Linked DNA regions of Daphnia pulex. The protein of the gene in region 3 interacts with the protein of the main gene of each other region in a biochemical or structural test. Links are inferred from orthologs where the notes say so. Each region holds a gene or a part of one and is shown on either strand. Other genes may lie near its edges.

The links.
Region 1: the proteins of ubiquitin-conjugating enzyme E2 G2-like (region 3) and E3 ubiquitin-protein ligase parkin-like form a complex in vitro, tested with the Homo sapiens proteins (6 studies listed by BioGRID). The link is inferred for Daphnia pulex from reciprocal best matches to the Homo sapiens genes UBE2G2 and PRKN.
Region 2: of the proteins of ubiquitin-conjugating enzyme E2 G2-like (region 3) and ubiquitin-like modifier-activating enzyme 1, one has a biochemical effect on the other in vitro, tested with the Homo sapiens proteins (5 studies listed by BioGRID, with this or other methods). The link is inferred for Daphnia pulex from reciprocal best matches to the Homo sapiens genes UBE2G2 and UBA1.
Region 4: the proteins of ubiquitin-conjugating enzyme E2 G2-like (region 3) and E3 ubiquitin-protein ligase MARCHF6-like form a complex in vitro, tested with the Homo sapiens proteins (2 studies listed by BioGRID). The link is inferred for Daphnia pulex from reciprocal best matches to the Homo sapiens genes UBE2G2 and MARCHF6.

The regions. Positions count from the first base shown.
Region 1 is NC_060026.1:3,258,448-3,266,431, forward strand, and holds E3 ubiquitin-protein ligase parkin-like, read left to right. Parts: upstream 1-3,896; 5' UTR 3,897-4,007; intron 4,008-4,067; 5' UTR 4,068-4,122; coding exon 4,123-4,380; intron 4,381-4,445; coding exon 4,446-4,635; intron 4,636-4,696; coding exon 4,697-5,036; intron 5,037-5,104; coding exon 5,105-5,441; intron 5,442-5,503; coding exon 5,504-5,629; intron 5,630-5,696; coding exon 5,697-5,781; intron 5,782-5,846; coding exon 5,847-5,956; 3' UTR 5,957-6,459; coding exon of another isoform or gene 6,460-6,606; 3' UTR 6,607-6,668; downstream 6,669-7,984. Other genes in the region: histone H2A, read right to left, coding at 498-878; histone H2B.3, read left to right, coding at 1,199-1,570; histone H4, read right to left, coding at 2,256-2,567; histone H3, read left to right, coding at 2,862-3,272; translocation protein SEC63 homolog, read right to left, coding at 6,460-6,606, 6,675-7,364, 7,424-7,615, 7,688-7,918. UniProt on the Homo sapiens protein: Functions within a multiprotein E3 ubiquitin ligase complex, catalyzing the covalent attachment of ubiquitin moieties onto substrate proteins. Substrates include SYT11 and VDAC1.
Region 2 is NC_060018.1:5,972,742-5,980,754, reverse strand, and holds the start of ubiquitin-like modifier-activating enzyme 1, read left to right. Parts: upstream 1-3,925; 5' UTR 3,926-4,073; exon of another isoform or gene 4,074-4,219; intron 4,220-4,325; 5' UTR 4,326-4,345; coding exon 4,346-5,722; intron 5,723-5,783; coding exon 5,784-5,867; intron 5,868-5,938; coding exon 5,939-6,358; intron 6,359-6,442; coding exon 6,443-6,788; intron 6,789-6,844; coding exon 6,845-6,987; intron 6,988-7,059; coding exon 7,060-7,551; intron 7,552-7,617; coding exon 7,618-7,944; 3' UTR 7,945-8,013. Other genes in the region: ras-related protein Rab-7L1-like, read left to right, coding at 1-141, 201-242, 299-411, 598-624, 688-719, 775-864, 929-1,070; polynucleotide 5'-hydroxyl-kinase nol9-like, read right to left, coding at 1,281-1,749, 1,821-3,565. UniProt on the Homo sapiens protein: Catalyzes the first step in ubiquitin conjugation to mark cellular proteins for degradation through the ubiquitin-proteasome system.
Region 3 is NC_060021.1:11,409,426-11,416,305, reverse strand, and holds ubiquitin-conjugating enzyme E2 G2-like, read left to right. Parts: upstream 1-2,885; 5' UTR 2,886-2,994; coding exon 2,995-3,037; intron 3,038-3,161; coding exon 3,162-3,243; intron 3,244-3,321; coding exon 3,322-3,440; intron 3,441-3,504; coding exon 3,505-3,645; intron 3,646-3,697; coding exon 3,698-3,816; 3' UTR 3,817-3,849; downstream 3,850-6,880. Other genes in the region: uncharacterized protein LOC124194765, read right to left, coding at 4,066-4,207, 4,270-4,468, 4,537-4,620, 4,786-5,956. UniProt on the Homo sapiens protein: Accepts ubiquitin from the E1 complex and catalyzes its covalent attachment to other proteins. In vitro catalyzes 'Lys-48'-linked polyubiquitination. Involved in endoplasmic reticulum-associated degradation (ERAD).
Region 4 is NC_060020.1:1,680,152-1,688,205, forward strand, and holds the start of E3 ubiquitin-protein ligase MARCHF6-like, read left to right. Parts: upstream 1-3,966; 5' UTR 3,967-4,169; coding exon 4,170-4,191; intron 4,192-4,272; coding exon 4,273-4,368; intron 4,369-4,438; coding exon 4,439-4,513; intron 4,514-4,579; coding exon 4,580-4,796; intron 4,797-4,855; coding exon 4,856-4,997; intron 4,998-5,061; coding exon 5,062-5,374; intron 5,375-5,440; coding exon 5,441-5,609; intron 5,610-5,668; coding exon 5,669-5,807; intron 5,808-5,868; coding exon 5,869-6,048; intron 6,049-6,126; coding exon 6,127-6,278; intron 6,279-6,345; coding exon 6,346-6,529; intron 6,530-6,597; coding exon 6,598-6,961; intron 6,962-7,031; coding exon 7,032-7,213; intron 7,214-7,286; coding exon 7,287-7,421; intron 7,422-7,503; coding exon 7,504-7,593; intron 7,594-7,650; coding exon 7,651-7,783; intron 7,784-7,852; coding exon 7,853-7,988; intron 7,989-8,054. Other genes in the region: protein l(2)37Cc-like, read left to right, coding at 55-142, 237-398, 455-597, 666-782, 846-941, 1,001-1,213; glucose-fructose oxidoreductase domain-containing protein 2-like, read right to left, coding at 1,620-1,856, 1,926-2,077, 2,139-2,458, 2,516-3,003. UniProt on the Homo sapiens protein: Endoplasmic reticulum membrane-associated E3 ubiquitin ligase that plays a critical role in mitigating endoplasmic reticulum stress, the regulation of cholesterol and lipid homeostasis, and ferroptosis.

The sequences.
Region 1 (7,984 bases), on a different chromosome or scaffold from region 3:
AACGGAGTTTATTTACCCAATTACTTTTTTAATTTTTAAATGGGGACGAATTAAAATGACAGCAAACCTCGAAGAGCTGTTTCATTTATTAAAATAAGGCATGTGACGTTCAATAACTCGCTAATAAAGTGAACAAAATCAACGTAGATCCTCGCCACATAACTTATTATCCCATTTCGCGACATCAGGAGAAAGTTATCGGGCAGTGGTAAGTTCAAAAGAGAAATGGTTTAAAAAATTGAAGTGATTAATTAACAACTTTTATTTGTAGTAGTACTGCCATTTACCGTTTCATATACCAAGAATTAGGTTGAAACAAAAACAATTCAAGCGTACCCCATTGCGAATCAGACAACATGCACGTTATCATTTCCACAACTAGATTAAAATGAAGTGCGCAATAAACTAAGTTCGAAATATAGCACTCAGCAAATTCCTTTTTTCCAAAATAAATTGGTGGCCCTGAAAAGGGCCGTTTATTAAAAGACGGGAGAAGTTTAAGCCTTGGCGGGTTTGTCGGTCTTCTTGGGCAAGAGAACGGCCTGGATGTTGGGCAAAACACCACCCTGAGCGATGGTGACACCGGAGAGAAGTTTGTTCAACTCTTCGTCGTTGCGGATGGCCAATTGCAAGTGACGAGGGATGATGCGGGTCTTCTTGTTGTCACGGGCGGCGTTACCGGCCAACTCGAGGACCTCAGCGGCCAAGTACTCCATGACGGCAGCCAAGTAGACGGGGGCACCGGCACCAACACGCTCAGCGTACGATCCTTTGCGGAGCATTCGATGGATACGACCGACGGGGAATTGAAGTCCGGCCCTGCTGGAACGAGTCTTTGACTTTCCCTTGACTTTGCCTCCTTTACCACGACCAGACATGTTAGGATTGAGAGTAGATAAAACGCGGTTCCTAAAATCAAGGAACGAGTGATGAATACAATTTGAAAAATCGACGTTTATATAGGGACTTGAAGTTGGATTCAGAATACAATTTTGGTAGCCAATAGTAAATCTTCACTTGCCTCGAAATTCTTTCCCTTTTCTATAGCTCCGCCCCTGAGTGAACACCTACGTGATACACGCAAGTCTCTGGAGACGAGAGTTTTGGCTACCATCAAGTAGTGAAGGGGAGCCGATATCAGTATAAAGAAGAAATTCGGACAAGCGGACTTCACTTTCTGAGATTTCCAAGTCCAAGAATGCCCCCTAAAGTAAGCGGTAAAGCTGCGAAGAAGGCCGGCAAGGCCCAGAAGAACATCGCCAAGGGCGACAAGAAGAAGAAGCGCAAGAGGAAGGAGAGCTACGCCATTTACATCTACAAAGTGTTGAAGCAGGTCCACCCCGACACTGGCATCTCCTCCAAAGCCATGACCATCATGAACAGCTTCGTCAACGACATTTTCGAGCGCATCGCTGGAGAGTCGTCCCGTCTCGCCCACTACAACAAGCGGTCGACCATCACCAGCCGGGAAATCCAGACGGCCGTCCGTCTGCTCTTGCCCGGTGAGTTGGCCAAGCACGCCGTGTCTGAAGGCACCAAGGCAGTGACCAAGTACACCAGCACCAAGTAGAGTGATCCTCTTGTTCTCTCTACAAACCAAACGGCCCTTTTCAGGGCCACCAAATTTTAAAGAAAGGAAAAACATCTAACTACTTTTGACATTTATTATCTAATCGAGTTCTAAACTGAACCCATATTGTTGATTAGTGCGACGGAACGTTAGGAAATACTGTGATCAAGAGCTTTTCTCTATCTTTCTGCTGAATTTTAAGTTTGGCAGATCCGGTTCAATGCGTTGATTTTACATATTCATTTGATTTAGAAAATGATTGATATTAAAATTTATCTCCGTTAGCAACTCCTTCTACATACTAAGGAACTAAGGAAGATTTTTGTTAAATATGAAAGTTAAAAATAAAAATACTGCGTAAAATCTGAGAAAACAATATCAATAACATAACAGCATCTCGATATTTTTCGATCGAGTTATTTGGATTAACATAGTTTCAGATCACAAGATCCTTTAGGACGCATTGCTCCAACACCTGCTATGTCAATCAAATCTTTCAAAGATGAAATAAAAGAATGATGCTTATTAATTCAAAATTCAAGGATTTTGTTCTTGTAGCAGCATAAAGTCGACAAGAATATGGTTTAAAAAGTGGTTAAGAAATCTTTTTCTTTAAGTAAATGGTGGCCCTGAAAAGGGCCGATTGGATTGAGTCAGGAGTTAAAATAATAAATCGGAATCAAATTTAACCGCCGAAGCCGTACAGAGTGCGGCCCTGGCGTTTCAATGCGTAGACGACGTCCATGGCCGTCACCGTCTTCCTCTTGGCGTGTTCAGTGTAGGTGACGGCGTCACGAATCACGTTCTCAAGGAACACCTTCAACACACCGCGGGTCTCCTCGTAGATGAGACCAGAGATTCGCTTGACACCACCACGACGGGCAAGACGACGGATGGCCGGCTTGGTGATTCCCTGGATGTTGTCACGCAAAACTTTGCGATGACGTTTGGCGCCTCCCTTGCCGAGTCCTTTTCCTCCTTTGCCGCGACCAGTCATTTTCAAATAAGTTTCAGAGATTTAAAAAATATCGAATGATGTTATGTTAAACTCACTATGGTCCCAATATATACCCTACCGGATCCTCAAGCTGAACTCCTATTGGTGGAACTCAGCTCCAGCCATCATTTGTCAACAAAAAGGATTTCCGTTATAAATTTTCTATTCCCTCCCATTTTTGAATTAACCAATCCCTAGCCAGTGAACTCGCTTAGCTCTGCAACGTCCGTAGGTTCCCCACATATACCAAGCACTTTTCACTAGTTAGGACATCTGAAATTTCACTCGCTCGAAATGGCTCGTACCAAGCAAACTGCTCGTAAATCCACCGGTGGCAAGGCGCCCCGCAAACAGTTGGCCACCAAAGCCGCTCGCAAGAGTGCCCCGGCCACTGGAGGAGTCAAGAAACCCCATCGTTATCGTCCCGGCACCGTCGCCCTTCGTGAGATCCGTCGCTACCAAAAGTCGACCGAGCTTCTGATCCGCAAGTTGCCATTCCAGCGCTTGGTCAGAGAAATCGCCCAGGATTTCAAGACAGATTTGCGTTTCCAGAGCTCGGCCGTCATGGCCCTGCAGGAGGCCAGCGAGGCTTACTTGGTGGGTCTTTTCGAAGACACCAACTTGTGCGCCATCCACGCCAAGCGAGTCACCATCATGCCAAAAGACATCCAGCTCGCTCGTCGTATTCGTGGTGAACGTGCCTAAGCGACCTTTTCCCTTTTGACTTACCAATCGGCCCTTTTCAGGGCCACCATTAGTTGCTTGAAAAGATTTTTCCTGCCAGACATTTCAATATCTTGGATTAAACTAGATCAGTATTGTTTAATTACCAACTTCTTTCTAATTTTCTGGAAATTAATAGTTGTATAAATTTCTTTCATCCAAGGTTGAATTTTAGAATAATTAGTTAGTTGCTATAAGAAGTGTAACGTTATATAAGACCTAAAACTAATTTAATTAAAAGTAACCCAGTAACATGATTTGGTCGACTTCTGTTGGGTTCGTCATTTTCAGTTAAAGTACGGATTTCGATAATTACTTATGTAAATAAACGTGTAGGTATGACCGAAAAAGAGGGGCTTACGAAAGAGGTTAAGTATATCAAGGATTTTTCGACATTACTTATTCTAGAAATTTACAGCAGTTTTTAGTTTGACAAGTTTAAGTTGACCTTCTAGAGCCATAAAAGCCTACAAGCCACAATCTCACTAAACACCAGAATAACAGATAATTTCGTTACCTTTTATATACTCTGCTAAATATAATAAGACGAAGTTGACTTGTTGATGAGAGTGACGAAGAGAAGGTGCTAGCGTCAACCTACTAACTAAATATTATGACGAAATTGTTGCTAGTCCATTTCACAGCAGACTGCAGACGACGTTTGTTCCAATTCATTTCAACCGAAGCCAACGTAAACAATATTTTCAGTTCGTGCCGGTATGCAATATAAAAATATAAAATATTTTTGGTTATTTAAATTATACATTTTTTACGTAGATATCTCGCTTTCATAATGTTCTTCAATCTTGGGTTTTTCACGTAAACCTACAGAATGATTAAATGGCTGTTGTCGCTCATACGTTCATTATTGAACAGAATTTTGAGATTTTTTTGGCCCAGTGATTCAAGTGAATTTACCCTGCCTGTTCACATAAAAGCTGCAGGAGGTAAAACATTTCTTATCGAAATGAGTCGAGATTGGGATGTAGCTCGGATCAAGAAATTTATAGCCCCTAAAGTTGGTCTGAAAGTTGAAGATATCAGCATTATTTTGGCTGGCAAAAGTCTTGCTGATGACTTGTTACTAGAGGTTTGTTAATTTCTTATATTGCTTTTGTTGATATTCTAAGTTTAATTTACCCAACAAATTTTTAGGAGTGTGATCTTGGTCATAATAGTATTCTAAATGCTGTTAAACTTAAAGTCATAAAAAAAACTGATGCAACTTCTTCCGAAGACAAAAATAGGAGAAATACACCATTTCATCAAGACAAGCCTCTTTGTGAAACATTGCTCGACTTGCAGTTAACTGAAGAGGAACAGAAATTGTTGCACAAATCTCTGGGTACGTCTGCAAATAGTTTTCCAAATCATTTTATGAATTCTGACAACTTCCTCGTTTTTAGCTTGTAGTTCTCCAGAGTATAAGCAAAAGAAAGCTCAGTTTTATGTTTACTGTGAATTTCCATGCAAATCAATACAAAGTGGTAAACTTCGAGTTCGATGTAGCCTTTGCAAAGCTGGTGCCTTCACCGTGGACCGAGATCCTTGCTGCTGGGATGATGTTTTACGACCGGAGCAAGTTAGTGGTACTTGTCAGATGGAAGATTGTGATCATTCGTGGGCCGAATTCTACTTCAAGTGCGCACATCACCCTTCACGAGGAGAGACTGACTCAACTCTTCCTCTGAATCTCGTCAAATCAAACTTCAAACAGGTTCAGTGCCTGGCCTGCATGGATATTAGGTAGCAATCGTTTTAAAGTTAAGATAGAATTCAGTAACTTGGCAACTTATTTTAATATCCCACTTTAGTGATCCTGTTTTGGTATTTCAATGTACCAACTCTCATGTGATATGTTTGGAGTGCTTCCAGCAATACTGTATGTCTCGATTGAACGAAAGGAGGTTTGTCTTCGATCCCAATATCGGTTATACCCTGCCTTGTCCAGCTGGATGTGAGAACTCATTGATCGACGGAACCCAGCACTTTAAAATTCTAGGAAATGAGCAGTACCAACGACTCCTGCACTTTGGAGCAGAGGAATATGTTATGTCGACAGGTGGTGTGCTTTGTCCACAACCTGGCTGTGGAATGGGCTTACTTGCGGACCCTTCTTGTCGCCGAATTCAATGCACAGGGGGATGTGAGGTAAGCATATTCTCATAAATATAACCTTGTTAAAAAATGTCTAAATGTTTTTCGCAACTCAGTTCGTGTTCTGCCGCGATTGCCTACAAGGCTATCACATCGACGAGTGTCAGACAAATGGAGAAAACAACTTTCAATCCATGTTGACAACCACCGAGTACGTTGTAGATCCCGGACGAGCTGCTCAGGTTTCTCTAATATCCACATTTGAGCTTGATTCTAGATTAAATGAGTAACATGAAATTATTTACTTAGGCGAGGTGGGATGCAGACAGTCGCGTTACCATACGTGTTACTTCAAAACCTTGCCCAAAGTGCCGAACGCCAACCGAGCGAGATGGTAAATTAAATTATGATCTGGGATTATTTCTCTAACGGTGTAGCTAATTTCTTGTTTGTTCACAGGAGGTTGTATGCACATGATCTGTACTCGACAACAGTGTGGATTTCATTGGTGCTGGGTTTGTCAAACGGAGTGGACAAGAGAGTGCATGGGAAGTCACTGGTTCGGATAAGACAACCTTTCCGCTTTCTTTATCAACCCTTTTATAAAGTACCGTGGTTCCTTGGTGTCGGGTAGTATAAGGGTGGAGAGTGTACATTTCTTTACGCTATACTAGTCAAGAAATTGATGACATTTGGTTCCTATAATAATCTAGACAAATCTGTTAATTGAAAATTGAAATGAATCATTTATCCGAAATATTCAAATGCTGTTCTAGGGAAGTCTTAAGAAGCCTTTAATTTTCCAACTGTCACAATCAAAATATTGCAAACATCCCGTGTTTCACCGATTGAAGGCCTAGACAAGATTTGTGTAATCGGCAGTCGAGGTATAGGGAATGATAAATACCCATATGTATAGCCAATGAAAATAAAGCCAGAAGATTCCCACTAGAAATAAATTTTTCAAGATTTTAAGCCTTTACAAGACGGTGATGAAATTGAATCCTTTTTCCCAATGAACAGAATGTTGAAGTCTCTGGCAAGTGAAAAAAAAGTCTCATTTCTACTGCAATCAGTCCTTGCCACTCTCTTCGTCATCATCATCGGTAGCAAATTCAGATTCGGAGCCTCCAGAGTTCTTATCTTCTTCATCCTCATCATCGGAAATATCCCATTGTGGATGCTCAGTAGGAATCTCCTCTGCTTCTTTAACGTCCATCTGTGAATTAAAATTTTAATCAATCAATAACCTATTTAGCAAAATTAAAATAATTAGCCGGAATATACCTTGATATCCTTCATTTGATCAAAACCAAAATATGAATCGGAGCGTAAACACACGGCGAACGTGTAGAATCCCGGCTTGAACGGAGCTGTGAATTTGAGTTGGATTTCTTCGTGCTCTACTAGATTGGTAATGTGATAGGGGGCGGTCAGAAGCATTTGTTGTTTCCGGTCCGTAATATAAGCCCACCAATATTCTTGTTTGTCTTCGGGATAGAACGGGCAGTACACCGAGTGCGAAAACTGACTTTTACCCTCCAGCAGCCTCTGGCGACGCATTGCAACATCACTCTGTAGCTTTTCTAATTGATCGTCGTCTTTCTCGGGCAAAGAACCATCATTGTTGGCTGCTTCCGCCTCGCCGTCGTCAGATTCGTCCAATTCAACTTCGTCCTCGGCTTCAACTTCACTACAACTTTCGGATTCTTCTTCCTTTGTCTTGTTAGCTGTTTTACTTGATGCTGCTGCAGTCTTCTTCTTATCTTCTACTTCCTTCTTTATTGGCTTTTTGCTGCCTTTTTTATTAGTAGCTCTCTTGCCTTTGTTTTTCTGCCACGGTAGTGACTTCTTTTTGGGTTCCTGTTTTTCTTCTTCTTCCGCTATCACTTCACCGTTCTCGAAAACTTCATTTGTTGTTTCCTTCTCGTTAGCGAACAGAACGCTCAAATCTCTCCTTGCCAAGGCGATCGTAACCTGATTTAAAAGAATGAGTTCTCCGACCGTTGAAACTATTTTGTAAAAATTCATCTTACCGTGACGATAGCGCCAGCTGTGTACTTTGTGGTGGATTCGTCATCCACTACTTCATATTTAATATTCATATCCACATAAGGCATTCCTCCCAGAGCGAGAACCAAATCATTGTATTGATTGTCGTCAAGATGACGTAAGCACTCGCGTCTATCTTCGTCCTTCAGTCGGGCTAGCTGTTCCAGCGAGCGGATCTGTTGCGACACAATGGCTCGTTAAAAAAACCATCTAACTTTTCAGCTTGATTAACACACAAAAATAATTACCTGATATCGCTTGCTGGAAAAGTACTTGAGATTTTCGTCGGTGATGTGAGGCAATTGCATGAGAGGACTCTTGCATTCCCAAAGTCCTTGAACGACCATGGCCGAAAGTTTCATACAACCTTCCAATGTGACCAGAGACGGCATGCGGCTCAGCCGCCCTGCATGGGCCAACATGATGAGTTGAGATACGCACACAACCATTTCTTGAATTAACGCGGGGCACTTCTTGATCTGTTGAAGAATGAATGTTCAAAGAAAATTTCTATGCGGTGTTTGAAATTAAAAAAAAAAAAATGC
Region 2 (8,013 bases), on a different chromosome or scaffold from region 3:
GGAAAACTTCATTTATTCGCCGGTATGTTCAAAATGCCTTTCGCGGGGATTATAAAGCTACGATAGGCGTAGATTTTGCTTTGAAAATTGTCAGATGGTCAGAAAACCAGACCATCAAGTTGCAACTTTGGGATATTGCAGGTAATATTATTCCCTTTTCTTTAATTCAACAATAAATTCAACAAACATTTGTTTCACAGGCCAGGAAAGATTTACATGGATGACACGTGTATATTACAAAGGTTTCGTTTATTTGTAAGTCTATAAATTGTGTTGTATTAAAAACCTTCACTTTCAGAAGCTCAAGGCTGTATCATTATGTTCGATTTGACAAGTCGAAACTCATTTGAAAACGCAGTAAAGTGGAAAAAAGATGTCGACTCTAAATGTGTCTTGGAAGATGGTGCGCCGGTATGTTACTGTTTTGCTATTTTTGTTTTTTTCTATTTTACCTTTCCTGCTTTTTGTGTATTACCTTTTCTATTTGGTTGTCTATGTTAAATTTATTTTAATAAATAAATTTAACTGACATAATAAACAATAACTACATGACCACCGTATTTTTAAAATTAAATTAAATGTCTGTTTTACTACCAGGTTCCGTGTATGTTATTAGCCAACAAAGTAAGTTGTTTCTGGTGCAGTCCAATTTAAGCAGATATTTAACTAAACGCATCTATTTTACAGTGTGATTTGCGGCAAAGGGAGGTGGATCAATGGTGAGAATCCGTTCTAATGCAAATAATAATTAATAATTTAGAAGATCCAAATTAGGGAGATTGAAACTCTTTGTCGGGAGCACAGCTTCATTGGTTGGACAGAAACATCAGCAAAAGATGACCTGATGGTTGGTGACTGCATGCGGTGAGTCGAAAGAGTAATGTCTATTACAAACTGCTCTCAATTACTGCCCTACATTCAAAATTAGGTTCCTGATCGAAATAATGATGAAGTATAACCGCTTCCAAACGACCGACATTTTTGGGCCGTCCCTAAAGCTTAGTAAACGAACAATCGAAGAAAGCAACGGTGTAATTGCTAGAAAGGAAACTTCTTCTTGCGGCTGCTGACCGTGAATCTACATTAATATTTATAAGTTCATTTTCATGTGCTGACCCTGTTATTCTTGGGTTGAAAATCAATTCATTCTAATAATAGCGCGAATAGCACTTCTATATAAATAAAAGTGGCTGTTATTTCTAACTTATGATCAAATCAAATAAAAAAAAAATTATTTTCATCGCCACACAACTTCTAGTTTTACTTAACCATCACACATATTACACAACATTGCGCAAAGTAAAGACGGGATTGTACTTGCGGTAGGGTCGACATGCTGGCTGAGCAACAGAAGGACCAAAAGTCCCGTATGGGACTCGTAGTTTCGTGACACATTCTTCATCTTGGTTGACCGATAAAGGTGCATCGAGTAGTAGACTTTCTGGAACTCGTACTCCTCCCATCACTAAACAATTGACATGTGCAAGTCGCTCCGCTGGTTCTGGGCTGATCAAGTAGACACGGCCTCTTGTAAGGTCGATTCCTCTAATAATACCGTAGCCCAGACAAGGCATCAAAGGTAACTCTCGCAAAATTTTGGGGTATTTTCCGTCAGCAGCCTGGTAATATGGAACAGAAGCAGCGGCATCGTTGTCCAAAATGCAAAGAGCAACAAGCGAAGCGTTGAGAGCGGCCATTGTCAAAGCAGGTGGAACAGATTCATGGCAGATGCAAACGGCCAAATCTTGCCTTGAAATAGAAATTTTAATTGACACAATTATTCTTGAATACAATAATATTGATTGGGAAATCATTATTACCATGAAATGCAGTAGGGTACAGAATCCATTAACGACCAATGAGCGCTGTTAGATAGTTGGCTGAAATAGGACATTAGTCCAATTTGCCGCAATTCCGATGCACGAAAACCCCATTCTTCTAAACTTTTCTCCGATAGTTCCGCCGATGAATAGATTGCTTGTAGCTCGTAATTGGGTAATTTTTCTGACCACTCAGCAGCATCGGTTAGCCAGCCGCGTTGGTGTTGAGCAACATAATCACGTTCGAGCATTGAAGGGAAATTGCGACGAAGTGAGCGGCTGCTAATTTGAAGAAGTTGGTGTGGCTGGGTAAGACGAATCAAGTCTAAAGTTACATCCAGACCAATACCGCTAGTGAATCCCATGGTATTGATTAGTGTTGGAACGTTTTCCAAGGCAAATTTAAGCTTGCAGTCGATAAGAAGTTGCCGGCATGACCGAACATAGCGTTCCGGACAACCGATAATATCTGCATCCCCGACAAAGTATGAGAAAAGTGGCTGTTGAATGTGGGTAAAATTTGGACCAAGCAACGGTTCAGAGACTAAAGATGCTGTTACGCATCCCGCAGGAAAAAACTCTGGCTGGCCAGGATCAAAGTCCACCACCAAAACGGTTCCACACTTTTGGATGAGTTGATTAAGCAAGTAACGAAGTAGAGTTGATTTCCCCACTCCTTTTCCACCGAGCAACATTACTCTAACAGTTTCCTTTTTTTGATATTTATCCATTAATTGTTGTGCATACTCTGCCCAGACATCTGGTTGTAAATAGAATCTGGCGCTGAAAATGCTTCCGCGTAGAACAATACTCGTGTCAAGTTGGTTACAAAGTTTGCCAAATAGGTTGCGATTTTCATCTCTCCAATAATTAGATTCTGGAGGAACGCACTCTTCTTTCTTGAGGATGTTGATGGGGAAAATACGGCTGATGTAATCAATCATTCCAAAGTTAAGGGAACGCAAAATAAGCAAGACATTTTCAGAGCTCTTTTTCTTCAAAAGATTTTCTTCACACGTCAACCCAGCAGACTTCAAGAGAGCGTGAGCGCGGCTTGCATTAAAAGACGTATTGCTTTTTCCGACTGAACGGATGCACTGCAGACTGTATCCTCTAGGAGAAAAAACATGGTATGTTTTACTTAAATTCTGCTCAATAGAAAAGCCTTGCATCTCGGCAATCCCACTAAGACATGTCAAACTAAGACGTCCTTTGAAGTAAAAACATGTCTGAAATGGGATGAATGCTAGAACTTCATTGGGATTAATTAGAAGGAAATCAAATGTATCCAGAGTTTGGTAGACTGCTTGCAAAGAACTTGATTCCTCATCCATAGCAAAGGTTTCTTCAATACCTTCTTTTTCTGCTGTTAAAAAAGAATCATCCTCATTGGGAGAGGATTGGAATGAATTATCTTCATCAGAAATGTTGCTCTCCTTTAATTTAAGTTTTAAGGCACCAATGCCAGTCACCGACACACTTTGATTAATGGTTGAACTGTTGTCTACATTTAATTTGGATGATGTTTTGTTCTTTCGTGAAGTTTTTTTTTTAAGTTTTGATCTTTTCGAAGTTGGTTTGGTCTGTCCATTTTTTAAGGAATCATAGACACTTTTGGCTGAAAGCAAATGACTGACAAATGACAATTTTTTCTCTGCCATATTTGTTGAGTCAGAACTATCGTTTGTGTTGCTTTTTCTTGAAGAAGAAGCAGTCTTCGTTTTTTTGGTTGAGAGTTTCTTCATATTTGTCAAATCTTCGTGGAGGCTTAATGAATCTTCAAGAAAATTTTGGTTTGAGTTTTTATTTTAGTAAGCTATTTTAATAATATTCAATTATACCTGATTAGATCCTATTGTTATATTTTATTTTAAAAAATGCAGATTTTACAGTATTTTTAAGCAGCCGAATTTTCAATCCAAGCACGTGTAAAACTGTAAGCTATAACGCTCAAGTTGCCAGATGCTCTTTAATTCAGCGATCAAATTGTCGGCGGGAAATGTAACTATTATTACGCGTACTTTCTTTGTCATCATCATCACTCTATTTAATAATCGGCTAATAAAAAAGTCGACTATTGCGCCACCTTACTCGTTGATTACAGACATTTTTACTTTGGATTTTAGTAGGAATAGGGAATTGCCGGTACAAGGACTTACTTGCATCAGCTGATACCCGCCATTTCCCCATATCTACGTCGAGTCATCGGTGGGAGAAAGGTGGCAGCACGCAGCACTTTCGAGTTCATAGAAAGTACTGGTAATTACTGACTGACTTTCTGTTGCTCTCTTGCTCGTCATTCTTTCAGTTTGGCTATCTTTCGTTCCAATCCTGGTGTGCAAATTCGCCGGCATTTTGTCGTAATTGTTCATAATTCTCCCTTCGTTGGAATAGTCTAAGTGAGTATTCCAATCGTTCGGAGTTTGAAACTTACCGTAATTTTTTTTATATTAAAGTAAGAAAACTGGTTTGTTAGCACCCATTGTGACGCTCGTGTTGCCCAAGGTATTGAGTTTAATTTTTAGATGTCCACTGCTGAGGTGGATCCGTCACCCTCGTCTCCCAGTCCTGCTGCAAAGAAAAGGAAGTTGGAAGAAAATAACGGGAACAGCAGTAACGGTAGCAATCACCATTTAAAAGAAGTTCAGCAGCAACCGAAAATGGCAGGAAATGGCAACATCCACACCATCGATGAGGGTCTTTATTCCAGACAACTTTACGTATTGGGCCATGAAGCTATGCAGAGGATGGCAACTTCTGATGTCCTGATTTCCGGTCTTGGAGGCCTTGGAGTGGAAATTGCTAAGAATATCATCTTGGGAGGTGTGAAGTCCGTCACCCTTCATGACAACTCAATTTGCAAAGCCTCTGACCTTTCTTCCCAGTTTTATGTATCGGAAGCAGATCTGGGAAAGAACAGAGCTGAAGTTTCTCACAAGAGCCTGGCCGAACTCAACCAGTATGTCCCAGTAGAAACTTATACAGGAGAGTTGAACAAAGAATTCTTGAAGAAATACCGAGTTGTAGTTTTAACTAATTCAAGTCTTGAAGAGCAACTTCGGGTTTCTGAGATCGTTCGTAGCTTCGGCAATGCTCTCATCGTCTCTAAAACACAAGGTCTGTTTGCCCAAGTCTTCTGTGACTTTGGGGAAGATTTCACCATCATCGATACTACTGGAGAAAATCCCGTTTCTGCTATGATTGCTGGAGTGTCTAAAGAAGAAGCAAGTGTTGTTACTTGCTTGGATGAGACCCGGCACGGATTGGAAGATGGCGACTGTGTTACCTTCTCTGAGGTACAGGGCATGGTTGAGCTGAATGGTTGCGAACCCAAGAAGATCAAAGTACTTGGACCATACACCTTTAGCATTGGTGACACGAGCGCTTTCAGCGACTATGTACGTGGAGGAGTGGTTACCCAAGTGAAAATGCCTAAGCAAATCCACTTCAAACCGTTGGCTGACGCTCTCGAAGAACCAGAATTCGTGATGACAGATTTCGGCAAATTTGATCGGCCTCCCCAAATCCATCTAGCATTCAGGACATTGGACGCCTACGTCAAGAAGGAGGGACGATTGCCAACTCCTTGGAGCCGTAAAGACAGTCAACAGTTTGTGGATTTAGCTAAAGAGTTAAACAGCGGTCTAAGTGGCTCATCTAAAGTTGAAGAAGTTGACGAAAAGTTACTGGCCACCTTCTCCCATGTATGTCAAGGAGATTTGAACCCCTTAAACGCCACTCTCGGCGGGGTTGTCGCTCAAGAAGTTATGAAGGCGTGTAGCGAAAAGTTTTCTCCCATTGTTCAATGGCTATACTTCGATGCCACCGAGTGTCTGCCAGATAACCAAGATTCGTTGACCGAAGAAAACTGTAAGCTTACTGGATCCAGATATGATGGACAGGTATTGAAATATTTATTTTTGTTTTTCATCAGTTATGCATTTTATTTTTTTACATTTTCAGGTGGCAGTGTTTGGCAATGAATTCCAGAAAAAGCTTGGATCCCTACGTTACTTCATTGTGGGAGCTGGAGCTATCGGTTGTGAGGTAATTATCAAAGTTTTTGTAATAAATTTTCTGTAGATTTTATTAATTAAAAAATATATTCTATTTGTTAGCTTCTCAAAAATTTTGCCATGATTGGAGTTGGTGCTGGTGAAGGGGGCCAAGTCTTCGTAACAGACATGGACTTGATTGAAAAGTCCAATCTGAACAGGCAGTTTCTTTTCCGGTCGCATGACGTACAGAAACCCAAATCCAGTTCGGCGGCCGCTGCCGTGAAGGTGATGAACCCTCAGGCCAACGTTACAGCCTTCGAGAATCGCGTCGGTCCCGAAACGGAGCAGTTCTTTGATGACGATTTTTTTTCGAAATTGGATGGCGTTGCTAATGCCCTCGACAACGTGGATGCCCGTATCTACATGGATAGGCGCTGCGTCTATTACCACAAGCCCTTGCTCGAATCTGGAACTCTGGGTACCAAAGGAAACGTTCAAGTTGTTATCCCCCATCTAACGGAGTCATATAGTTCGTCTCAAGTAATATAGCTTATTATTTATTTTTTCTTTTATGCTAGTTTTCTGGTTTATTGTAATTAATCAACTTTCTTCTTAAACTTATAGGATCCTCCGGAAAAATCAATTCCTATCTGTACGCTGAAGAATTTTCCTAATGCCATTGAACACACACTGCAATGGGCTCGGGATATGTTCGAAGGGTTGTTCCGGCAATCAGCAGAGAGCGCTGCTCAATATTTAGTTGATTCTAAATTCATGGAGAGAACACTAAAGCTAACAGGATCTCAACCACTCGAGATAGTCGAGGCCGTCCACCGCAGCTTAGTTGAGGAACGTCCGAAGAATTTTGAGCAGTGTGTTCAATGGGCTCGCCTCCATTGGCAGGAACAATATCACAATCAGATCAAGCAATTATTGTTTAATTTTCCACCCGAGCAACTTACTTCTTCTGGTAAAATCTATTGATAAAGTGTAATTTACTTTGTATATAATTTTTTGTTTTGACAGGTCAACCGTTTTGGTCGGGACCTAAACGCTGTCCTCATCCATTGGAATTCGATATCACTAACCCCGTCCATTTGGATTATGTGGTTGCGGCTGCTAATCTAAAAGCTAAAATTTACAACATCCCACAGTCGCGCGATGTACAGGTGAGTTCACTTTTTTTAGTTAAAACATAATTTGATTTACAGTTGTTTTTATCCCCTCGGACTCGAATATAGGCTATTACTAAAATGGTGGAATCGTGTGTCGTACCGGAATTCGTACCACGTTCAGGAGTCAGAATTGCTGTTTCGGATGCGGAAGCTGCTGCTGCCGCCAACAACCCAGGCATGCTTGATGAAGACAGACTTACCCAGCTGCAGACGGAGTTGCCATCTGTGGACTCTCTGTCCGGCTTGCGCATTCTCCCCCTCGAATTTGAAAAGGATGACGACACCAACTTTCATATGGATTTCATCGTAGCCTCTTCTAACTTGCGGGCAGAGAATTATGATATCGCACCGGCCGATCGCCACAAGAGCAAACTTATTGCTGGAAAGATTATTCCAGCCATTGCTACTACTACCTCCGTCGTTTCAGGCTTGGTCTGCATCGAACTTTTGAAGTTGGTACAGGGTCATACCAATCCTGAGGCATTTAAGAACGGGTTTATCAACTTGGCTCTTCCGTTCTTTGGCTTTTCTGAACCAATCGCTGCTCCCAAGCAAACGGTATTGTTGGAAAATATTTTAATCGATTCGTTAACTAAAAAATTTTTTGTTTGTATTTGATTAAAGTATTACGACAAGGAATGGACCTTGTGGGATCGTTTTGAAGTGGAGGGTGAAAAGACGCTCCGGCAATTTATTGATTACTTCGAAAGCGAACACAAGCTGAAAATCACCATGCTTTCACAGGGTGTTTGCATGCTTTATTCGTTCTTTATGCCGCAAGCTAAACGAAGCGAACGTATGGATCTCCCCATGTCAGAGGTTGTCAAGCGTGTGTCGAAGAAGAGACTGGAGCCTCATGTCAAAGCACTCGTCTTCGAGTTATGCTGTAATAACCTTGAAGATGAAGACGTTGAAGTGCCCTACGTCCGTTACGTGCTCCCGACCGAATAAAACTATTTGATTACTCTACGTTGTGCGGCGGGTTGGGGGTTGGTTCATATTTGATTTCAAGGTTATTTA
Region 3 (6,880 bases):
TTTCATTGTTGTATTTTGCAAGATCAATTATTTGTAAGTTAACATAGCACTCAGAAATATTTTCTCACATCATGCAATTATCAGCAGCAGGAAAGGTACTTGAGGAGAAAATAGAGACATGCACTTGTGATTTATCAATCAATCTTGTATTTCAGCAATCTTTCAACACATCAAAAGAAATACTTCAGAACTTCGGTGTATAGTTCGGAGCAACGTAAATGGTGACATAGTCGGGAGAATTGCTGATGTAATACATATGAACCTTGGTAGTAGTTTGGAGCAGGGTAATACTTAAATTCCTCGATGTAGTAAACTAGGCAGCGTACGTGGGTGGGTAAAAGGCGGCTTCTTCGGTGTAGTACTTGGGGGCTGCGGTGTTGTAGCTAGGTGTAGAGCAGGTCGTGGTGTAGTATTTCTGTTCAACGTAGCACGAAAGCGCAGCTTCTGTGTAGTAAGTCGGGACTGCGTAATACTTAGCCGCCTCAGTTGTGGTTGTGTAGATCGAGGCAGAAAAGTACTTTGGCGCTTCGGTGTAGTATTCGACCGTTTTGGTGGAGTAATCAGCGGGAGCTTCGGTGTAGCAGCTGGAAACAGAGTAGTATTTAGGAAAATCGGTGCAATAAGTAGCTGAGAACAGAGTAATACTTGGGAGCCTCGGTGTAGTAGGATGGGGCAGCATGCGTAGTCATGTAGTACTCTGTCGCCTTGGTGGTGTAGTAACTCAGGGCAGACCGGCAGAGTAATACTTCAGGGCGTCAGTGTAGTGGCTCGGGGCAGCGTAAGTTGTGGTATAAAACTCCGGTAGCTTTAGTACTTGAAGACTTCGGTGCAGGAACTGGTCGTTGCGTAACTTGCTTTTGGATAGGAAGGCGGCGGCGTTGCGGTTTAGTTTCCACCATACCAAGGAGACATCACTACACCAACGGTCGACCCAGCCATCAACGATACAACACCCAACAGGAGCACGACGCCATAGTTAAATAAACAGTAAATAAATTTAAACATTAATATTAAATATTAACAGGCATATTAACAAATAGAAAAAACATAGAATCAATGTAAAATAAGAATATTTACCCATAATTGCGAATCGATTACACGATGAGGAATGCAGTTGGTGACAGATAGGGCACTGCAGTTCGCGCACGACTTCTTTTTTTCTTTACTCCGGGACGTAGGTGTAGTAGCCCGGGGCAGCGTAGGTTGTAGTGTAGTACTTGAGCGCTTCAGTGTTGTAGTAATGCAGGGCCTTGGTGTAGTAGTTAGGGGCAGCATACATAGACGTGTAGAATTCCGGTCCCTTAGTGATGTAGTACTTGGGAGCCTCGGTGTAGTACACTGGGCAGCATACGTTGTTGTGTAATAGGCGGCTTCTTCGGTGTAGTACTTGGGGGCTGCGGTGTAGCTTAGGTCGTGGTGAAGTTAACTGGAGCATCAGTGTAGTATCTGTTCAACGTAGCACTAAAGAGCAGCTTCGGTGTAGCAAGTCGGAACTGCGTAATACTTGGCCGCCTCGGTTGTGGTTGTGTAGATCGGGGCAGAGTAGTACTTTGCCGCTTCGGTGTAGTATTCGACCGTCTTGGTGGAGATCAGCGGGAGCCTCGGTGTAGCAGCTGGGAACAGAGTAGTACTTAATATACTTAATATAGGTGCAATAAGTAGCTGAGAACAGAGTAATACTTGGAAGCCTCGGTGTAGTAGAATGGGGTAGCATGCGTAGTCCTGCTCCGTCGCCTTGGTGGTGTAGTAACTCGGGGCAGAGTAATACTTCAGGGCGTCAGTGTAGTAAATCGGGGCAGCGTAAGTTGTGGTATAAAACTTCGGTGCCTTAGGGGTGTAGTACTTGTAGACCTCGGTGCAGGAACTGGTCGTTGCGTAAGTTGCTTTTGGGTAGTAAAGCGGTGGCGTTGCGGTTTGGTATCCGCCATACCCAGGAGACATCAATACACCAGTGGTCGACCCACCAATCAACGATACAACATCCAACAGCCTTATTATCTAGACATTAAACAATTTCAAACATTATTAATCAATAATAATTTGCATTTTAACAAACAGAAAATAATTGGCATTAATAAAAAACTTTATGTAGAGACAGAATATTTACCCATGGGTGAAGAAGGCAGATGGTGACAGATAGCGCACAGCAGTTGTTGCCGTGTCGGAGATCCTCACTCGACTGATGTCTCTGGCCTTTTTCGTCTCCTTTTTATACGATTTTTTGATCACCCTCACCTCTTAAGCCTTGCGGGTATTGTACCTGTTCGATAATGATGAAACACGTACCTTTCTCACCCAACCTCTCCGCCGTCGCATGATACGTTCTACGTAATGATCTCCGTGACCTTCGAGCGTCAAACTGGCCTTTCCTTCTGCAGTTTGAAGTTGCTGGGGGGTGGGTCGACAAAAACCAATATCAAAATGAATACCAAATGGTTATGGCTTGCAGCTATTTTACCTGTTTGATAATGATGAAACACGTCCCGTTCTTACCCAACCTCTACACCACTGCATGACACGTTTCACGTAATGATCTCCGTGACCTTCGAATGTGAAGGAAATGCAAACTGGTCTTTCCTTCTTTAGGTTGGCGTTGCTGGGGATGGGTCTACAACAACAAATATCAAAATGAATACCAAATGGCTGAGCCTTGCGGCTATTATACCTGCTTGATAATGATGAAACACGTACCTTTCTCACCCAACCTCCACCGCACTGACAGTTTTACACGTAATGTTCACCGTGACCTTCAAGCGTGAAGAACATGCAAACTGGCCGGCCCGTCTGCAGACCCCTGTCAACCGATTTGCCTCTTGACTAGCATGCTCTAGCGGTCTTCAACTCAACCTTTTCTACAAAGTAATATGCAGACGAAAAAAGACCAAAATTAACAGATTCCAAGTTTACGTTTGATCATACCTGTGACAGTGTGACATCATTTATCAAGTTTAGATTTCAGTTTAATTTTATTAAGTGTTATATTCTGTAGTTACAATGGCTGGGTCTGCTCTTCGACGTTTAATGGCCGAGTACAAACGTGAGAATTGTTATTTTTTGTTATTTTTATAACTTATTAGGTATTCCTGTATATTTTACAAATTTAAGTAATGCATATTTAAGTAACCCTTAGCAGTTATTTGATAATGTATGACTTTTTTTAGAACTTACCTTGAATCCACCTGAAGGTATTGTAGCTGGTCCTATCAACGAAGAGAATTTTTTTGACTGGGAATGCCTCATTGTGTAAAATATTTTGATTCATTTTCTGTGCATGATCTTGTCTCACTTTTTAAATACATTGGTGGTTTTTACAATCCATAGGGGACCTGACGGAACATGTTTTGAGGGTGGTGTTTTTCCAGCAAAATTAACATTTCCAACTGATTATCCATTAAGCCCACCAAAGATGCAGTTTACTTGTGAAATGTTTCATCCTAACAGTAATTTAAATAAAAACTTAGTTAAATATAAAAACACTTGTTAATACTCAAGTTGATTTACCAGTCTATTCAGATGGAAGGGTTTGCATTTCCATTTTACATGCTCCAGGTGATGATCCCTTAGGATATGAATCTAGTGCTGAACGATGGAGTCCTGTTCAGAGTGTGGAAAAGATTCTACTTTCAGTCATCAGCATGTTGGCAGGTCCGTATTTAAATTGGTAAACAATCGCCCTTAATTAACCTCTTTATTACAGAACCTAATGATGAGAGTGGAGCAAACATTGATGCTGCAAAAATGTGGCGAGAAAACCGAGCTGAATTTGATCGCATTGCAACTCGAATCGTTCGGAAATCATTGAATATTCCCTTGTAATATGTACAATATAATAAAAGAAAAATTATGAAAGCGGTTGTCCTTTTAAAAAATATAAAAACTCGTCTTCGACATTAATTGTATTTGACAGTTTTGTGTTATGTCGGGAAAACACACTGTATATTATCTATATATTGAAAGGTTATATTAAACTCTATAGATGCACATTGGCAAATGTATCTGTCCAATCGGAGAGAATTTGTAAATTAAATTAGAAATACTTTTTCAATGACTAGAAATGACACCATTCTAGGGGGCAAAGTGGGAATGTTGCAGAGAACCTTCTAGTTGCTCTGAGTAGTAGTGAGTTGTATTTAAATAGTCTCGCAACCGTTTGGGAAGTGGCAACATACTGATTTGATCTCGCCTGATCAACTTCAAAATAACAAATCTAAGATAATTAATGTGTGAATTAAATCAAATTAAACCATGTAGTTTATTTGAAAAATGTACCTGGACAAGTGTTGCAAGCTTTGAACTTGGCGGAATCGTGATACTGGGTGCAACAGCTGAACACGAGTAGGTCCGTGTGTTGGCCTTCGATGAAGGAAAAAAAGAAACCGACCACTCCTCGAGTGTTCGATAGCCTTATCTATGAACTCAACCATTGTTTGGCTCTTGAATCGGGCAACACTTCCGAAACTGAAGTTTCCTATTAAAATAAGATTTAAGAATTTTAGTCATAATAACTGATAATTAATTAATCGGAAAATGAATTACCATGATCGTGTTCGATGCGAACGTGTCTTACACCGCCGTTCAATTTAAACGACAAAGAGAAGATGTAATGATCATCGCTGCTATCTAAGTAACAACGTTATGAAATTATTAACACAGTTACGTATTTTTCTAATGAATCAATTTCTTAAATATTTGAAATAACTAAATTCATAATTAATGTAAAATGGTTTTTTTTTGGCAGTTACTAAAAAAATTGTCAAGAGCAAAAGAGAAACATATTATTAATACCTCGCACTAGAAAAGATCCGTCGGGTTCGTTGGACAATATTTGCTCAGCAGCTTCACCAGATAGAGGACCCCAATACCATCCATGGTCCTTCACAGCTTCGATTGAAGCAGCAAAGTCTAGATTAGTTTGATTGGTAGTCGTTTCCATATTAAACTCAGGTGAGCTATTCACATTTGTTTCGAACTCGTTCTGTACGCTGTTCGAAGCATTCGAATCCAAAACTTCCTCTGCCAAATCCGCTTGTTTTACCCTTTCTCTTGATTCAATTAAAGACGGAAGGGTAGGTGAGGGGCGAGAAGGAACACGAACAAATCCAACTTCTTCTTGCGGAACAGGAGGTAAAGCCCTACGTTGATATGGTGAGCTCTCAGTACACTGTGGATTGCTCGATTTGTTATCTGGTGTACTGAAAGTCCATCCGGTAGGACACACTTGATTGCATGATTCACCATGATACGATAAATGATGATGCGATGGAATGCGAAAAACACTGAAGAGTGCTTGCTTAATTCCTGCAGCAGTCACACTTAAACTCTTTCGACTTCGCTTTGTTCGAGCATCATCAAAGTTACTATTCTTAGCGACTACGTGTGGTGTCCAAACAAAGCAGCTTTTTCTTTTACTTTCCGAGGAGGTGGACTCGACCGATTTAGAGGGGACAACCATCCATGGACGTCTCCTTGACAAAGAAGTGTCTTGAAATTCACGCAAATAAGATTGGACTTCCTCAAGAGTCATATGAACAGGTTCACTGGGTTCTAACTTTGGCACAGCAGCAATACTGTGTCTATTTCTGCATGTGTTGTTTTGTCTTTGTTTCTGCCTTTCAATATTTGCCAAACTGTCAACAGGGAGTGAATAAACATCACATCCAGATTGAATGCAATTTGATTCTGTAGACGGTGCTGGCTTCTTAATCCGTAGTCTAACCTTAGGTTTCACAACAATGGCCAGAAGTGAGTGTGCCATTTCACTGGCAAATTTAGACACAGCACAGTCATTTAGCACTGGCTTAAGTTCAAGATCTTCTTCTTCACTGAAAGGGTCATCATAGAAGCGATCTTCCACATTGCCAAGCATCTTCCTAGAATCTTCAAAACCAGGAGGAGGATCCAATACAGGAATTTCTGATACTGTGATAAAATCATCTTCATTGCAACCATAGTCCATGGTTTAACATTCTATTCAAATCAATAAAATATATTAGCAAGAAGTTGTAAGCAATTTCAACTGATTGATTATTTGTTTGAATATTGTAACTGACCACAATTGTAAGCAGCTATCTAGAATTAAAGAACGACTGAAACATTGGTAAGTAAAGTATGCAGCGAAAATTCCAAAGGCTTCCTTTTATCAACGAGTTCGTAGACTCTTACAAATAGATTATTTGCCAATATTTAGTATTTACCGTCCTTAAAGAAGGTCACGAATAAGTAAGATCCGGGTTGAAGATTTTCGATCTCACATATCTCTGTGACAATGCTACGTTTTCCTTGAGTTGAAAGCGTTTCGTTCTGAAGGAAATATGGAGTAACCCCGAATCCAAACTATTAACAATGGAAAGTCGGACAAGAAGATATCATTGTTATCCTTCAGCACAGGCAACCGCCATGTTTTCTTTACTGTCAGTAAAGTATGGTATGCGGAGTGCGGGAGGCTAAATTGCGGGTTTTTTCAAGGCGTTCCTTTGAAACGTTTCGAATGGCTTGATTTCCACAGTTTATCAATCCCAAAAATTTCGAAACAATTTGTTGTGACAGCTAGCATGTCGTCTGTAGAAAAAGAGTAAAAATAGACAAATACAAACAAACTATGTCAAAAAGGCATATTCAAACAAATCTAGGAGGTCAGAAGATAAGTTAGCTGAATGTCTTGTTGATAAGTCTTATTGTTGCAGGAAGTGATTTGGTTTATCTCGCCACGCCACGAAGCCTATATCATGAGCCTGCAAAGTTTCCGTCCTTCTACTTTCGGCGTGTACCGATCGCAGGAAAGAGACCGTGTCTCCGGATATGGATAATGTGGTATGCTTTGTGTTTAAGTGATTACTTATTACATATTTTTACTATTGATTCAAATTTGGTTTCAAAATGA
Region 4 (8,054 bases), on a different chromosome or scaffold from region 3:
TTTTTTTTTATTATACACTTTTCAGATTGTTACTCACATTAATTCATAAAGATCATGGCTGCTCAATTTTTTAATCGAATTAGTCAACTGGGTGTTGGAGTTGCCTTAACTGCTGGAGTTATTAATTCCGCATTGTACAATGGTGGGTTGTTTTACTGTTTTTATTAGTAGATCTTCTGTAGTTTTCTTTTTTATTATTTTTATATTTTTCACATTCATATTATTCTACATTCTAGTTGAGGGAGGCCACAGAGCTGTTATTTTTGATCGTTTCTCTGGTGTGAAAAATGAAGTAGTAGGAGAAGGCACACATTTTTTTGTTCCTTGGGTGCAGAAGCCAATCATCTATGACATTAGGTCCCGACCAAGGAATGTACCAGTTATCACTGGCAGCAAAGGTAAATGAAATTTTAAAAAATTGTACAGCTAACATCATTAAGGGTTTTTATTTTAGATCTTCAAAATGTAAACATTACTTTGCGTGTCCTGTTCAGACCTGTCCCAACTTCTCTCCCTAATATCTACAGCACCTTGGGCATTGATTATGATGAGCGTGTGCTCCCCTCTATTACAAATGAAATCCTGAAAGCTGTTGTTGTAAGATTATATATTATTTTTTTTTTTTTCATCCTAAGCATTATAAATGATTTTTAAATGTTTTCTAGGCCCAGTTTGATGCTGGAGAATTGATCACTCAGCGTGAAGTCGTATCCCAGAAAGTTAGCGAAGCTCTAACGGAAAGAGCTGGACAGTTTGGCTTAATCTTGGACGATATCTCCATTGTAATGTTATTTCAGTTATATGCTACGATCACTTAGTATAATTCGTTATTCCTTTGACAACAGACGCACTTGACTTTTGGCAAAGAATTTACCCAAGCTGTTGAGTTAAAACAAGTTGCACAACAAGAAGCTGAACGAGCTCGTTTCCTTGTAGAAAAAGTAAGTTTTACTAATTATGTTAAATTTCTGAATCATATAATCACGTATTTTTTTTTTAGGCCGAACAATTAAAGAAAGCTGCAGTCATTTCAGCAGAAGGTGACTCCCAAGCCGCTTCTCTTTTGGCCAAAGCCTTTGGTGATGCTGGTGAAGGTCTCGTCGAACTTCGACGAATTGAAGCTGGCGAAGATATTGCTTACCAATTGTCCAAATCTCGAAATGTTGTCTACCTGCCAAATGGCCAGCAGACGCTTTTGTCGCTACCGCAGTAACGAATTTAGTCCTATCAAGTTTTTGTATCGTATGGGGCGAAAAAGGTTTCGGTACGAGGTCAGTTAATAAGTTATTAGCACATTTTTCTGAATGCTATTTCATTGACTGGTCACGTTTCGAAAAAAAAACTAATCATTCGATGTTTCCGTAGACACTTGTCATCTATTCATAGAAATACAATAAATAATTGTATGTTGTTCCATTTTAAAGTCGTGTGTAAGCATAAGGAGGGAACGAGACGACACGACGAAAGAAAAAACTGTCAAAATGGTACATAAACTAAAGAGTCGTATGAAACATTTTTCTTAGCAAGGTTATTTGAAGAAATCTTGAATGATGTGAGAAGAAGAGAAAAAAAATTTGTTCTTGAAATACGTTAACAGAAAATTATTGCATTGGTTGTGTTCATACAGCGGAAATAGTGGACCTGCGAACAGCGGCACTTAACACCGGATTAGGATCTGGTTCTTCGTGGATGATAGACACTTCCGACCACTCTCGCATCTTGCTGGATCTTTTAACGGCGTCGATGACTGCCATAACATACTGTCCGTCTTCAAAAGTAGCAGCGGAAGAAACAGCGTCTTTAATCCATCCACTACGATCCTCAACGCGGGAAAACGCATCCCTAAGAGCCGACACCTGTTTAACAATCGTACATTTGATTACACGTAGATTGGTAGAATTCACTTGTGCCATATTGCTACATACCATACGAAAAAGCCCATTAATGTACGGCCTTTGATGCGGTTGAATCGGAGCATTGTTTACAATCGAAGATGGAAGAAATGATAGCTCGTCTGTGTCGGTATGGAAAATTTCGGCACTGGGATTCGCCTTGCTCTGACCAGTTACTGTTCCACCTAGAGTAAAAACAACTTTGAATTTTTTTAATCAGTTTCAAATTAGTATCTTATTTGTTACCAGAAGGATCGCTGCGGTAAGTGATAAATCCCTGTGAACCAGTTACAGAGAAGCTAATGTCAAAGTTGTTCAAACCTTCTTGGCTGTTAAGTGTAACGGCAACTAAAGCTCCGCCGTTCATTTCCATATTAAAAGAAGTAAAACGATCACTCGTGATCCGACGAATGCTCGTTTCTCCCCTAACAGCCAGTCCTCTTCGAGTAACGCCATGAACACGAGTAGCTCGTTGCCGGATCACCGCGCTAACGACGTCAATAACATGGGATCCGATCATGGTCAGCACACCTCCTCCCATTCCTTCTTCACAAGTCCAATCATAGCTACATCCACAAATTAATTAAATTTTGATTGCATTCATTAAACTGATATGAACATACTTTTTTGGATTGATGAGGGATCCAAGTTGTACATGGATATCACAGTAATTTACTTCTCCAATAAGCTGATCATTGATAACATTTCTCACATACTGAAAAGAGGGCAAAAATCTGAGGCTATATGCCATTACAGAGATAAGTGATGGATAATACTGAGCAGCATGAACCATTTTGAGTGTTTCACTTTGACTTAAACCCCCAGGTTTGTCACACAGCACATGCTTGCCAATTCCTAGGGCTTTTACTGCAATCTGAGCATGAAGAATTGGTGGACACATGATGATAATCAAATCAACTTCACGCTTCAGTAGGACATCATCCACTTTGCTTGTAAAAAATGGAATTTCAAGTTCTTCAGCTGCCTCTCTGGCTGCCTCTTGTGTCTGAGCCCATACAGAATCCACTTTAAAGCCTTTTGCTCGCAAATAAGGCACTAAAACCTTCATGATAGTACCAGCACTAATGAATATTCCTATTCCAGGAAGCATTATGATGTGCACTGCCTAGAAAATTGGCAAAGTAAGTATAAAATCAATGTATTGCAAAAGGAATTTAGTTATTAGCTCCAAATTCTCAGGTTTGGAGGAATGCATAACCAATTGTTGTTTACCTTTTTGAGGTGCAATTTAATTTTTATAATCTTCTTACTTCATAACAAAGAATTCGACTATATACTGATTTGAATCAATCAGCTCGATGCTTTCCTACGATGAATTTCTAATTTATACAAAACAACCTAAAAAAATGACATTTCCATCAAAACATTGCCGCAGAGTCGCAGACGACAACATACATCTCCCGTTAATCCGATTAATCGATTTAATTCGATCGATCGATTTAATTTAATTAATCGTTCCACATTCGTAATTGCCGATCCTGATATTTTTTATCGATGTTATTTTGTACTTCGGTGAAATGCCAGAAAAATTTTACTTGTAATCACTGAGAGGATAATTTAAAGCGCAAAAAGTCCAGTATTTATACATAGCAAATGCAAGACTGACCGCGAATGTAGCCTACTGATTACTGGGCAAGGTGGGTCTTTAGTTTTGGAGGGTGAACTTCTTTTCCACTGGGGTTAACGCCTAAACGTTAAATTTTTTTATAGATTTTGGTGTTCAGAAATCCGTAATTCTAATTTCCGGCTGGATTAGTGGATAGTACACTGTATGACTTACATCAGGAGAAGCAAAAGCGGCTAGTGAAATCGAAATTGAACAGGAAAGCCAGCAGCGCCACCGCGACTGCTTTATTCTTTGCTTGTTTAAACAAAATTAACCATTTTAATTACTGCGGAAAAATTTCAAACGGTAATTATAACTAAATTAAAAACACTTTTGCGTTGATAAATTATAAAATCATACAATTTATTTGGATGACTAATACCAATTTGCTTTTTTTAATCTAGACATTTTTTTCGTCAGTCTTCGTTCTCTAGTCAGCTGGCTTTGAGATAGTTGAGCGAGAGCGAGCACTACGTTGAGCGAGCGGAGCCGAGTAGCCCGAGTTGACCTTTTTCCTTTGCCTGCGTCTCAACCTCCTTTCTAAAAGGGGACAAATGTTCTTCTAACAACACAAACAAAAAAATAAATAGCATATTTATTTGCTACATATTTTTGTCGCTCTTGGACTGTGATGCCCTAAATAAACGAAAATGGATGAATCTCTTCAATCAGGTAAGTTTTCTCTTACTCTTATTCCGACCCGATTTTTGAAGATTGAGCAATATTGTTCATTATTATATTGCTTTGCTACAGACATTTGTCGAGTTTGTCGGTGTGAAGGAACACCCGACAGACCATTATTTCATCCATGTATTTGTACAGGAAGTATAAAATTCATTCATCAAGAATGTAAGTTTGCCTTTTTCATATCTATTTATCAATATGTTGGTTGGTTTACTTATCATTCACTCCTATGCAGGTTTAGTCCAATGGTTACGTTATTCTAGAAAAGAATATTGTGAGCTGTGCACACATAGATTTTCCTTCACTCCAAGTATGAATAGTGATTTCTGTGACAACAAATGAACCATAGCCTTAAATGACAAAATATTTTCTGCAGTTTACTCTCCTGACATGCCTAAAAGACTGCCTCTTAAAGACATACTTTCTGGTCTGGTCTCCAGCCTTGCTAGGGCCATTAGATTTTGGCTCCATTACACACTTGTTGCCATGGCTTGGCTGGGTATTGTTCCTTTGACAGCCTGCAGAATCTATCGCTGTCTCTTTACTGGATCTGTCTCTTCTGTTTTGACTCTTCCATTGGATATGCTATCATCGTGAGTTCATTTTGAAGTGAAATAATCTACTATTTCTCACTTTTGTTTGTCTTTGTTAGCGAACATGTGGCCACAGATATTTTGCATGGCTGTGTGGTAGTGTTATGCACCTTGTGCGCTTTTATTGGATTGGTATGGCTGCGTGAGCAGATTCTTCATGGTGGAGGACCTGATTGGTTAGAACAAGATATTCAAAATGAGGTAAAAAGCTTGCAGTCTTTATGTGTTCTTAATTTTATTTTGTTATATAATGATTTTTTTTTAGCAGGAACATGTTGAAATGGAACAGCCAGCTGAAGCTCCTGGGGTTGATGCAGATGTTCCGGTACAGAATAACGCTCGGGCAGATGTAAATGCTGAAGGTGTTGGGGAAGCCAATGTTCCAGCTCCTAATAATGTAGGCCAACAAGGGCAGGCTCAAGGCCAAGCTCAAGACGATGTCAACTGGAACTTGATGGAATGGGATAGAGCAGAGGAGCTGACTTGGGAACGTCTTCTCGGTCTGGATGGATCATTGGTGTTCCTGGAACACGTATTTTGGGTTGCTTCTCTTAACACACTCTTTATTCTTGTTTTTGGTAAGAAGACTTATTGATGTTTTACGAATGTTGAGAAACTTATTGAGTTTCATATTTTATTTTAAGCATTTTGTCCTTATCACATCGGACACTTCACGATCGTTGGTTTCAAGATGAAAGATTGGGTGTCAGCGTGCCATTTTGAGGGGCTGTTGACGACCCTTTGTGGATATGTTGTCATTGGGCTTTTTCTCGTACTTCTCCATGGCGTCACTTCACTTCTTCGATTGCGAAGGTAAGAAATAAGAAAAATAATTAAATGTCAGTACAAAATTAATCATGTAATTTGTATAGGCCGAAACGGATTTTAGGGCTTTGTTATGTTGTCGTAAAAGTCTCGTTGTTAACTGTCGCCGAAATTGGTGTGTTTCCGATTGTCTGTGGTTGGTGGCTTGATATATGTAGCCTACCACTTGTTGACGCTACCTTTAAAGTAAGTGTTAAATATATTAAGTCTTCCAAAATGAAAACCTAACAATTTTCCCCTATTTCAGGATCGATTGCATAACTTTAGTCAAGCTCCGGGAACTTCAATGTTTCTTCATTGGCTAGTGGGCATTCTATGTGCTTTTTATTTTGCTTCTTTTGTGTTGCTATTACGTGAAGTTTTACGACCAGGAGTTTTGTGGTTTTTGCGTAATCTGAACGATCCAGACTTTAATCCAGTACAGGAGGTATATTTTCAACAATCTTATTTTATTTTATTTTTTTTTTACCGAACAAACCACTAACGAATTGTGATCCTTTAACAGATGATTCATCTTCCAATTGTCCGTCATTTGAGACAGTTTGCTGCTTCTCTAGTGATATTCGGCACAATCGTGTTTTTGATGCTTTGGGTTCCCATACGAATTTTGCAGAAGGGCATGCCAAATTTCTTGCCCTATTATATTGTCAATTCGACGTAAGTTCTCAAAAGTTTCAGCAGAAGTTTCAGACGATTGTTACTCATTTATTTTTCAAATAAATAGGGACACCCAAGTGTCGGAATATTCGTTGGAGTTGCTGTTGTTGCAGGTTATTATGCCTTGCCTGTTGGAGCAAAACCATGCTCGTCAATGGTTACTTTATGGGTTGAGAATGTGGTGTCTAGCTGTGTCCTGGCTGTTGGGCTTACGTTCTTACTTGTTGGGAGACGTGTCTAGCTCAAGCGAGGTAAGTTGGTTGTATAAATTGCAATTTTTTTTTCGACATTTATCATTCTATGGCTCTGTTTCCTACAGTCGGGAGAAGGACAACCCCATCACAACAACCAAGGAGTAGTAATTGGTGAGAATGGTGAAGAAGAAGAAGAAGATGATGACAATGAGCAAAATGATGTTCAACATCACCAAATGGATCAACCTGCCGCACCAGCAGAACCTGTTGCTGCACCTCCTGCTCAAGAAGAAAACATTCTCCTTGGAGGAATACCTTTTCGTAATGGAGGATTAGGAGCTGCTCATCAAGCGCTTTTGCAACGTGAAGGTCCCGCAGGATACGTTCCCTATTTACGACCCCCGGTCTTTTTTATTAGGATCATCCTTCTCCTTTTCATCATGTGCATTAGCTTGTCTGTTGCGAGCACAATTTTCCTCACGCTTCCTGGTATGAAACTAAAAAAAAAAAACTAAAGTATATTTGATAAAGAGATTTTTATTTTATAATTAACTGCTAGTTTGGATCGGTCGATTTTTAATGGAAACGTTTTATGGAGCTGGTCCTCATCATGAATTATATACGGCATTCGCCGGACTATATTTTTGCTGGCTAGTACTTCGTGGGATTCACGTGTTTTCTCATTTGGTTCCACGAGGATGGTCAAACGTGTTTGTTCGAATCAAATCCTATACCATTTTGGTTAGTTGAAAGTTTTGTTTTTACTTGCTTTATATGCGTATCCAATAATATTTATAAATTCTGGATATTTTAGGTATTGAAGTGTACTGTGGCATTTTCTCTACTGCTTGGCGTTATTCCCTTACTCTTCGGGCTTCTACTAGATCTCGTTGTCGTAGTTCCTCTACGCGTTGCTGTCAACCAATCGCCCATTTTTTCGCTTTCTCAAGTTGTATTTTAAATTTCTTATACGTTTTTTTCTAGAACTTTAAAATAATATTTACTTCTGTTTATTTTGATGAACTGTAAAGGATTGGAGTCTTGGAGTTCTATATACCAAAATAGTTTGCGGGCTGACAATGATGTCACCGGATTGGTGGTTGAAACATTCGTTAGAAAAGGTATTTGTTCCGTAGAATAACAACAATTCGGTTCTTATTTTTCCGTCTTTTCAATAGTTATACCAGGACGGAATTCGCCGAATGAACTTGACCTTTGTTCTCTGCGAACTTGCCATCCCTGCTATAGTAACTCTTGGTTTGGCGTTAGCCCTTCCATACGTCGTAGCTCATTCGATCGTTCCATTTTTTGGTAAGATCATCTTGAGGGCATCATTACGTCTTGAAACTTTTGTTTATTCTTTTTAACTTCTTTTTATAGTTCCAAGTCGACAACTTAGAGCTCTTATCGCTCGAAGAGTATATCCGTCATTTCTGGTCGTTATTCTTTTGATGGTATTCTCAGTCTGGCAGTTGAAACAGTTTAAACGGCTGTATGAACACATAAAAAATGACAAGTAAGTATTTAAACTTTGCCACATTTATAGTTCATGAAAGTTGTGTGTGCTTAGGCGAAAACAGTA